Linked DNA regions of Tribolium castaneum. The protein of the gene in region 1 interacts with the protein of each later gene in a pairwise test. Links are inferred from orthologs where the notes say so. Each region holds a gene or a part of one and is shown on either strand. Other genes may lie near its edges.

Region 1 (5,683 bases):
ACTTTCCCATATTCATTATCAGATCCATATAGGTATAAAGTTACGTAAAACAATTTTCATAAATATGAAAAATTGTGCTCGTAGTACGGTCTTTATTTTTTTAAATAAGCACATAACTTTTGATTTAATTTGATGTCGTTTCGCGTCCTCAACCAATTACAAATAATTCGTACAAGGTATATGACTTGAAATAACATACAATCATGTCGCTCAAGAGGCAAACGATTTTAATTGACAGTCATAAATAAAAAACTAATTTTGCAAAATTGCTAGCTGTGCCTGCTCCAGCTAGAGAAAGGTGCTAATTAAGGTTTCGGCGACCGATAGTTAACTCTTTTTCATTGATCGGTTAAACGTTTGCTTAATTGATCATACGTTTGAAACAAAGACATTGTCATTTGCGAAGATCGCGGTCAGCGTACTTTTTCTCTGGTTCAGTACCGTCGACCGTTTCGCTTCGTGGCTTCTTTTGATATCTGAGACAGTCAGTGTTTCTTGTATCCCGCATTCCGACGTCACGAAAATCATAATTTCGTTCAAATCCATCAATCGTGGGTTAATTGGGTTAGCTCCGAGTTTCCTCGAACGGTCGTAGGAGCATTATTTCAACGAAAGGAATGCGAATGGTAGCAGTGTCCTCACCTTGCCCCCAGCGAAGGAAGTGAGTGCGGAGTTCGAACCCGCCGAGCAACTTTATACGGATATTATTAGGCAGAAAACTGTTATAATTGCGGCTAGGAATTCGAGAGAATCCTCGCATAGGGCGGCTCGTGCGCGCATTTAAATCTCCGAGTCCGCTCAAGTGTGAAGCGACTTCCTTCAGTCCTGTTTTTGTGTCCAGATAAGTCCTGTTTTTTCCACGGCTCTACATTCCGTCACAGTGGCTGGGCTTTTCCGGTTTCACCCCCGATACGAACCCTCGTGGGAGAATATCAGTTCCGTTCACATTTCCTCTTCCACTCCGGAAATGTATTGAAACTGTTATTATATTGCCCGCGGCTAGTTCGTGGAAATCCTCGATCCTAATTACGACTTTTAAAACCACACAGTGGTTGGCAATTTGTCATGTTTACTCAACTTGTCAAAAAGTGGATTAATCGACTGAATCACCGGGGTTTTTATACCTCTCGGTTCGATTCTCAAAGATATGCTAATTTTCTCAATGCACTTAAGGTTGGCGGCATTTTTCCCTGAACTGTTTTCGCGCAAATTTCGAGAAACCGAGGTGAGACATTCCAGAAATGTTAATCACGGTAATTAGCATTGAGCTGGGGAGAAACTTTCTTCTGATGTGAATCAACAGGTATCTTAATCAGTGATTAATAAGTTCTTGGGAGATATAATTGTGTTGCTTCTCGTTTTGTGATAACAGCTTCCTCGAAAGTATTACACAATGAAGAGGGACAAAAATAGAATCATTATCCATAACGTCATACAAAAACCGGACCGATCATCGAAGTACAAAGCTATCGATGATGTGCTCGCTTTTTGTAAATTTTTGATTTCGCGCTTAGATGAACAAATAAATTTTATATGAGTCGCAATTGCAATTATTTTCGGAATGGGGAAAAAGCAACTGATAACGGGAAGGAAACACGTAATTCTACGTCTGGCCCGATTTTTGAAAGCCGGAAGATTCAGTTTAATTGTTCCTCCAAATGCTCAATGGTGCGTGCCGCTCTCATTGCATATTAATTTACCCGAAATTATCGGAAATCGTAATTCACAGTCACCCATATCAGACCCCACCTACAAAGGCATTGAAAAGAACAACAATAACTCAAATAAATAATGTATGAAATCAACAGTAAATATAAAACTTGAACCAAGACCTTGCCAGTTATGCAAGTTCCTTTAACCGGAGTTGGCGATTTTCGAAAAATTATTTCGCGAGAAGTTTGCAGGTTTGGCATTGAGATAAACGCAACAGTAATTAAACAACAATAGAATAAGCAGTAAAAGTTTAATTAAAAAGTGAACCTTGAACGCCAGTCCTAAATATTTCAATCAGGATCTCCAACAAGACAAGATTTAATCTACAGAAAATATTTAAAAAACAGGATTTGTAATTAGCAGCGTTTTTAATTAATACCAATCTGACAAAATTTACCGAAATGTGAAAAAAATTAAAGCTCGCCTGTTTCGTTCGTCTTCAGAAATAATTAACAGAAATGACAGGCACTAAGCGTGAAAAATCATAATTTATGCAAGCACCATAATAAATTGTAATTAGATGTTTTGGTAAATTCCCCTCTTATGCAAATTACACGTTGAAATTAACATTATACATCAGCGATCTCATTTATTGCCAAAATTTTGTCGTTGGACAATAAACCACACTTGTAAGAACTTTGGTCAGCCTGGAGAGATCAGACATGTTCACCTATCAGAGTAAATATTGACTTGGTGGATTCCTACAAATTGAACACTGTTTGTGTAAGCTTCTTATCAGTTAATAAATGTTTGTACCGAGACAAAGTTATTCCTTTTTTGTGGCCACTAAACCACTTCGTCCTTTGAAGCTCTGGCAAAAATGTTTAATTCATGCGATACTATTACAGAAAATGAGCGTACTTTGTCCATTTAGAGAAATTATACCTTATTTGTATTTGTCCCTCCATTTAAGTTTCCCTCAGCCCCCAATTATGATGCAGATAATGATCAAGACGTTAACACCTTAATGAGCTCGCATGTCGTCCCGATACAGTTTCAAATAATTATAAACAGGACGAGTTTTTGTAACACTCCGTAAAGGAAATTTCATCGTAACCGATTTTATGGCTTGGAAATACCTCAGCATTTATAAATCAATTATGAGCGTTGACCAAATGTCAAGAATTCGTTCTCGGTACGCGATTTGTCATTATTGCAAATTAGCGAAAAGCCGAGCGAAAGTTGCAGTCATTTTCCAGTCGATGATGCAAACGTTAGATCACTGCTTTGTGAAATGAAACCTGGACGGCATGTGGAAGAGAAGTGACATTTGGGCGGATCCACGTCCATGTAAACGTCCGGTCTTCACCACAAAAGATTAGGCTGGTCCAGATTTATTTCTTTACACTTGTTTGTAGGAAATTGAGTAACAGGATCTGATACAATTTTTGGTTTTGTTCCAACCTTGATCGTGATTGTTGTTGGTGGTGGCACAATTTGAATAGGATGAAACTGATGACTCATGAACATTTACAATGCAAAATTCTTTACGTTATCTCGTAGTCTACAAGGTTTTATGCTGCTAATAACCGAGAATTAATCTAAACGAAAGTGATTCATTACGTTACAACTGGAGGAAAATTGATTTCATTTGTGTGTAAAGCAGCCTTTTTGCACGCTGGTGTGAAGACCACCAACGATCAAAAATTGTTGTTTATTAAGCAAACAGTCCCGGATCCGAAAAATGTCAATAAGTTTGAATGGACAAGTGGTAATAAACATTTAAAGCACGGAGGAATAATAAAAGGCTATTTTATCACCACGACATATCTGGCATTGTTGTTGCACTCAAAATATTTGCATGCGCATCAACTGAGCTTTAAAGCTCCAAAAATAATTCCCCACCTTGGTAATCCCTTCAGTCAATGGTAATCCCAAAAATCAGCAACTGGGAAAAGTTCACGAAAACACGCACTCAGAAACGTGTGCAGCACATGGAGCTGCGCCGAAGTGTTCCAACACCACGTCCTTCCAACACCAACGTTAAAACGCGACTGATAGCTGCGAGCTTTAACCCACGGTTGAGTCGCGTTACTCTGCCTCGGCTTGTCCCAAAGACACCATAAAATGCATTTCTATCAGATTATGGATGATAGTGGGATGCAGGCAGGTTCATTGTAGTGTTATTGTTTGGAGGCTTTTCGTATTCTCACACTTTCCTTCAGGGTGGGTGTTGGGAGAGAAATTCCGTTGTTTCTTGCTGGACTTGAGACGGGGCAAGGTATACGAGATTTTTTAAGCTGATATGCAAGCGGAACAAATTTCGTTACTGTGTAAAGGTAAATAAACTATTTTCATAACAATGGATGGCATGCTCAAGGTACACAAATTGGCTACTTATCGGTTCCTCCTCCAGAAGCTGAGGAATTCGATACCACATTTTTTTAATTTGTTCCTTTTTGACAACATAAATAATTAATTAGATTATTATTTACACATCTTTATTCTCGGTCAATTTGCACAAGTTTCATACAACTATTATGTTTCTTACGCATAATGAGTTTAGAGGACTAATTATTTTACGCAAAATTTATGAAATATCCGTTTCATTGAAATTCGCAAATCCTTCAACGCTTCAACATTACTGAAGAAAAATGTTCCACTTGTAATACGCTATGGCATACTTTGTAAATATTGTAAATAAATTAATAATTAATAACGTGTTATTTTTTTATTATTATTTTGATCACATCCACAGAGCTTTGGGTTAAAGCTTTATAAAAGATGCAAATGGAGTGCTTCTTTAATACACATCCATAAACATGAAAAACTTTCCATTTTCAGCGACCAAACACATGTTAACTGGCTGGTGCAACTGTAAACGATTAAATAACTATTAATTCATCACGTCTTGACACTGCATCGTTTTATTAACTGACTGACTAAAAAACGGACAAAATGTGGCCAACTGACTCGCTTTATAATAATTTTTATTAGGAACATGCCTTATTCGACTCATAAATGGTGCTAAAAACCCAGTTACCATCAACCGCAAGTTCTGTGTCAATTTTCGTAACAATAAAATGGTGAAAATCGATTTTTTCTTCCCACAGAATTAATCCAAACAAACTATAATTCCCCATTCAATAAAACGGATAGAAAGTCAGAAAATGAAGTGAGAAATGGACCGATACGTAATGAATACATTGTCTCATTTGAGAATGATCAAAAGTTATGTGAAATTATAAGAAGGAAGTGAATAGGTTGATTTATTGAAATTACAACGTGAGTAAGTTGGTAAATTGCTCACACATCCCGTCGTATTAACTTACTTCTGTTTCCGACTGACATCCTCATGCGTACGGTTTCAAAACAGACAAATTGAAGGCAAAATTAATTTGAAAAGATAAGTCTGATAAGCGAGCCTTGAGTGCCATGCATAATTCAGGAAGCGGATACAGTTAAGGTAAGGTTGCATTGTTCCATAAAATGCGGAATATCGCTGCTAAGGACTCATTTGCCATCACCAGAGGGTTGGAATTATGTAAAGTAAGCGCACACAAAGGAAACGTTCACACATAATTATGTAAATAAAACTGTCGCTAATATTTACGAAAGTTATATTTGTGTTGAAAATCATTTCACACATGCAGGTTCCCACACGATGCAAAATAAGTGCAACAAGTAACCCGGCGTTATTTAATTGATCAGGAAAATTAAAATCGGATTGTTTCCGCCCATCGCATAATTGCGAGAAAGCCTTTCGAAAGAAGTAACCGGAGCATGTGTCGGCAATATGTCTTTGCGTCACACTAAGCAAAAAAACTGCTGCTGTACCTAATTTTTTTCCAGCAATATGAGCCCCTTCATGACGTATTATCAGTCGTAAGAAACCGCAAAACTAATTTGCCCGAAAGACCCCGATGATGGGTTGGACCATCAGGGGTTACCTTTCTAGACTAAACAACAAGGCGAAGCCGCTTTTTGGCACATGTTAATGACTTGAACATGCTTTTAATCAGTTTTCAGG
Region 2 (4,781 bases), on another chromosome or scaffold:
ATTAAGTGAACGAAATATCGCGGCGCTTCAACAACATCACGATATAACCCGAAACATCAGCAAGCGAGCAACAACTGGCCACACGCTGACTAGCATCCGGTAACCGGAGGAATGCGCAAGGCAGCAGCAGGATTACTTCTGCCTTCCCTCGTTTTTACAATTTCGTCCTGATCCTGCTGCATGCGATAGAAATGCAGCTTATAATCAAAGAAATAACACGGAAGCTTTTTAAGAAAGCTTTTGTCAAGTTTGGGCAAGTTTAATGCGACCCGGATTAATCAAGTTTCAGGACACAAGTGTAACAAAAAGCTTGTGTGGGTTTGAGGAAAAAATGCATCTGGGCTTTTTACAAGCTTTTAAAATGATTAGTAAGCACATACCAAAAAAATGCAGCGGTTTTCAAATGCTTTTAATTAAATAGTTTTAATGAATATAATTACGATTTTAAAAGCTTTAATATTGATCCATTTATTTGTTTGGCTATTAGCGGGTTTTTGAGGGGATTTAAAAAATATTGCATTTGGTTAGAAAAGACTGAAGAGGCGCCGCTATTATCAACAGAATTATATAAAAACCGTCCTATAAAAATTTTTCTACGCTTCCAATTAACTCAAAACTACATAATTATTAACTAGTATAACTGAAGTATAAAATGGTTCAAAATTGCTCGAAGTGAACAAAAATCGCAAACTGGATTATTTTTTCCTAAAAGATTATTATTTCGGAAAAAGTGCAACCGATGAAATTGTGTGCTCATTTTATGAAATGGAAAACCCACCCTTTTTCCTGCAAACCATTTACTTTTTAATTTTCCTAAATGACAAAAATGAATTTTTTCGCGGTGGGAAATAATCGAAAAGCGAGATGTTTTATGCAAACATATCGATTTCATTCAGAAACAAGATGACTCAATTTTAAAAGTGCTTATAAATTTTTTATCTAAAAGACGAAAATCTGAGCATACATTTTGCTAAAAATACGAAACCATATTTCATGTATCTGACACTGGAGGTTCAGGTTTCATCAATATCAGGCTTTAAGGGGAGCAATGTTTCGATCTTCTCATTTTCGGAGGCTTTGTTTATAACGTGTGTAATCAATTTTCTCGAACCAAAGTAATTACACGAGGAAAAGAAAAAGGCAGATATTTTCCAAATCTTCATTGAAAACTTTTGCATCATTTATTACCTAATGTACCTAAGTATAAAAACTGCACTAGATTTGTTTGCAAAATGGAACAGATACAGCTCAACTACTTTGTGAAATCATATTTATAAAAAATCGCTCCTAAATTAGACAAAAGAAAAAAATGTTTTTACCTTGAATTTTAAATAGATTATCCATAATAAGCCAGAAAACCAGTAAAAAATGTTCGCAGTATTTAATCGTTGAACGACTACAGCCACTCAACAGGGTAATCTAATTATTTTCGCCATTTTTCCAAATGACCTTAAACTCACTGGTTGGAAATAAAGCTAGCTTCGGAAAATTCACCCCAAATAAATCAGCTTGTGATACTTTCAACATCTAACTTAATACTGATTTATCAATTTAACCAATTTTTAATACAAACAGAAAGAAAAATTTGATATGTAGTCTAAAAACGTGTTTAAATCTACAAAACTAGCAAAAACTATGTCACTTTTGACATAATTCTGTAATTTATTGGCTTACTTTTAAAGAAATTTTGCGCATTAATTGCGTTTTTGCTGAATAAACACTTAGAAAATGTGAATTTTTGGTCATTTTCGACAACATTTGATGATTTTTTCGTTTTAGTTTAATAAAAACAGAAAGAAAACCTTGATTTTTAGTCTAAAAACGTGTTTAAGTCCTCAGAACTGATTTTTTTATAATAACTTATAATAATAATAATTTATAATAATATAAATACGTGTAAATTACATTAGCTATTGTTTTCTCAAGTGCATAAATAATTTATAACAGCTAATTTTGAGAGAAAATACGTCGTTGGCGTTTTTATAGTTTTGAAACAGCGAATACGTATTTATTCTGCTCAACACTGCGATAAAAAAAACCTTTAACATTAACTTGGAAATTCCTGTTTAATGATTACAGGGAAATGATGCTGCAAAAAATCTTTGTTTCAATTTGGAAAGTAATACGTTATTTTTTATTTATTCTAATTCAGATTTGGAAACTGATACAAAAAATGTTGCTGATATCTGATACAAAATTCTATTAAAAATTATTTTTTTAATTAAACAAAAATCTTCTGATTCTCCCAGAAGTTATTAAAAATATCTGTAGGTACTAAAATGATGGAAGACGCTAAAACTTTCTGCAATGAATGCAGAACGAATATAAAAAACTAAAAATACAAAGTTGCAATTTTTGTAAAAAAAAATATCAAGGGCGGTATTCAGAATTTGCACCCCGGCGGCTGTAAAACTAAGAAGTCGTCTTATCACAATATTGTATCACAATAATGAAAAATAAACTCGTTTTTTTTTCTGCGGCCTTTGGAATTTTCTTAAGTAAAGTACTATTTTTATGAAAAGAGACCCACGAATTGATTTCTTCTGACCCAATGTTTCAAAGCCCAATCAATTCCTTACGGCGTATTTAATTTCCCCGCGGTGAAACCGCTGGCGCCTCTATTGTTGCAAGAAGCAACTACTCATCGGACAAAAACAGCGCTATTTTTCTCTCTCTAAAGAGGTTGGTGCTTCGATGGTGCTTGGTGGTCAAAGATGAAGATGGCTGATGGTTCTGTGATTTTGCGTCGAAACCGCCCCGGCACCAAAGCCAAGGTAAATTCCACTCTCGCCCCTTTAGCCCCAATCAATACTCGCCAACCTCACCCTTAACCTATCGATCACCTGCAGGACTTCTGCCGATGGCCCGACGAGCCCTTCGAGGAGATGGACAGCACCCTCGCCGTCCAGCAGTACATCCAGCAGCTCATCAGAAACAATCCTGCCAACATCGACCTCATCCTCAAGATGCCCGAGAACCAGGACGAGGGTGTGTGGAAGTACGAGCATCTGCGCCAGTTTTGCATGGAGCTGAACGGGCTCGCCGTGCGCCTGCAGGGCGAATGCCACCCGGAGACCTGCACGCAGATGACGGCCACCGAGCAGTGGATCTTCCTCTGCGCCGCCCACAAGACGCCCAAGGAGTGCCCTGCCATCGACTACACCAGGCACACGCTCGACGGGGCCGCCTGCCTCCTCAACAGCAACAAGTATTTCCCCAGCAGAGTCAGTATTAAGGAGTCGTCGGTGGCCAAGCTAGGCTCCGTGTGCCGCAGGGTCTACAGGATTTTCTCGCACGCGTATTTCCACCACAGGTCGATCTTCGACGAGTTCGAAAACGAGACGTTTCTGTGCAAGCGATTCACGCAGTTCGTCACCAAGTATAATCTCATGTCGAAAGATAATCTCATTGTTCCGATTCTCGAAGATGAAAATACACCAGGCGAATCCGAGGCGTAAATTTTGACTAAACTGGCTGTTTTTCCGACATACCGCCGTTGGTATTTATGACTTGTTCATACTGAACAGATGGGCTTTTTCCGATTCGTTCTACATTCATTTCAAGCATCAACTGTATTATAAGACATCTCAAACTTTATTTTTTCACCTATATTTTATTTGTGGCGTTGTGCCCGATATGCTTTTTTGAGCAACTCACCATTAAGTGTACATTGATGGGAAATTAATTGTTAAATTGATATAATAAGTCGTGTAATATATTTATTTTCATTTAGAAGCTGTCTAGGGATAGAAAATATGACAAATAAATATCTATAGTAGAAATATGCCGCTTCGAATTCCCAATTAAGTCATATGACTAATGTTTAGTGATCCGGTCCTTAAACAATTCATTGTTATAGGAAGTTTTAATTCTGTTCTTCCCAAACATCCATTCTATAAGCCAATCTAATCACTTGAAAAATTAAAAAACGCGCATTGCATGTTCATTAAACACTCGAAACAATTCATTAACTGAACCAAATAATAAAACAAGGTTTAATAAAACATAAACAACTAACTCTTTAATCCTGATCCTTGTAGCACGATTATAGCGTCCAGGTTCCCTGAAGATCCCTTCCACTGGCCCTTTAATCACTCGAAATTTAAAAAATCGCGCACAACTAAATGTCTGTTAAACACTCGAAAATCCACAACACGCACTTTCAGTCACTCGAGTCATCTGAAACAAAAAATTGAAAAAATTAGTAATGAAAAAAAAAAACAAAACCAAATTCGTACATTATACTTAGTCTCGAGCTTGCTGTGAATGTTTTTCTTCAATATTTAAGAGATGCATCGTCAAATATCTGGAAATTTTTCTTCAAAAGATTTGAGAGAATTGCGTTTCAACTACAATTAAATAATAAATTTTCACTCATATTTTGATACTTATAAATACTTACTGTGTTCTAAAATGTTGCACTCACATTTTCACTTCACACACTTCACCGCACTTAGAAAAAAATTAAAATTCACTCACCCTGGCCTCCTCGTCGTTCCCTCTTCTTCTTAGAACGGACCTACTGAAAATAAAAAAATACAAGATCAGTATAAAAATTTTTGATAAATGAATTTATGTATAACGTTACAGATTTATACTTAATTTTTTTTTATAAAAAAAACTTTGACAACTAACCCTTTAATCCTGATCCTTGTAGCACGATTATAGCGTCCAGGTTCCCTGAAGATCCCCTCCATTGGCACTTTAATCACTCGAAATTTAAAAAATCGCGCACTACTAAATGTCTGTTAAACACTCAAAAATCCACAACACGCACTTTC

What was found.
Region 2: the proteins of rau (region 1) and Mob4 interact in a two-hybrid assay, tested with the Drosophila melanogaster proteins (2 studies listed by BioGRID). The link is inferred for Tribolium castaneum from reciprocal best matches to the Drosophila melanogaster genes rau and Mob4.

Annotation. Positions count from the first base shown.
Region 1 is NC_087398.1:1,940,616-1,946,298, forward strand, and holds the start of rau (uncharacterized protein rau), read right to left. Parts: upstream 3,737-5,683; 5' UTR 3,559-3,736; intron 1-3,558.
Region 2 is NC_087395.1:22,126,262-22,131,042, forward strand, and holds Mob4 (MOB kinase activator-like 4), read left to right. Parts: upstream 1-2,614; 5' UTR 2,615-2,714; coding exon 2,715-2,774; intron 2,775-2,849; coding exon 2,850-3,458; 3' UTR 3,459-3,782; downstream 3,783-4,781. Other genes in the region: Epac (rap guanine nucleotide exchange factor 4), read right to left, coding at 4,636-4,697.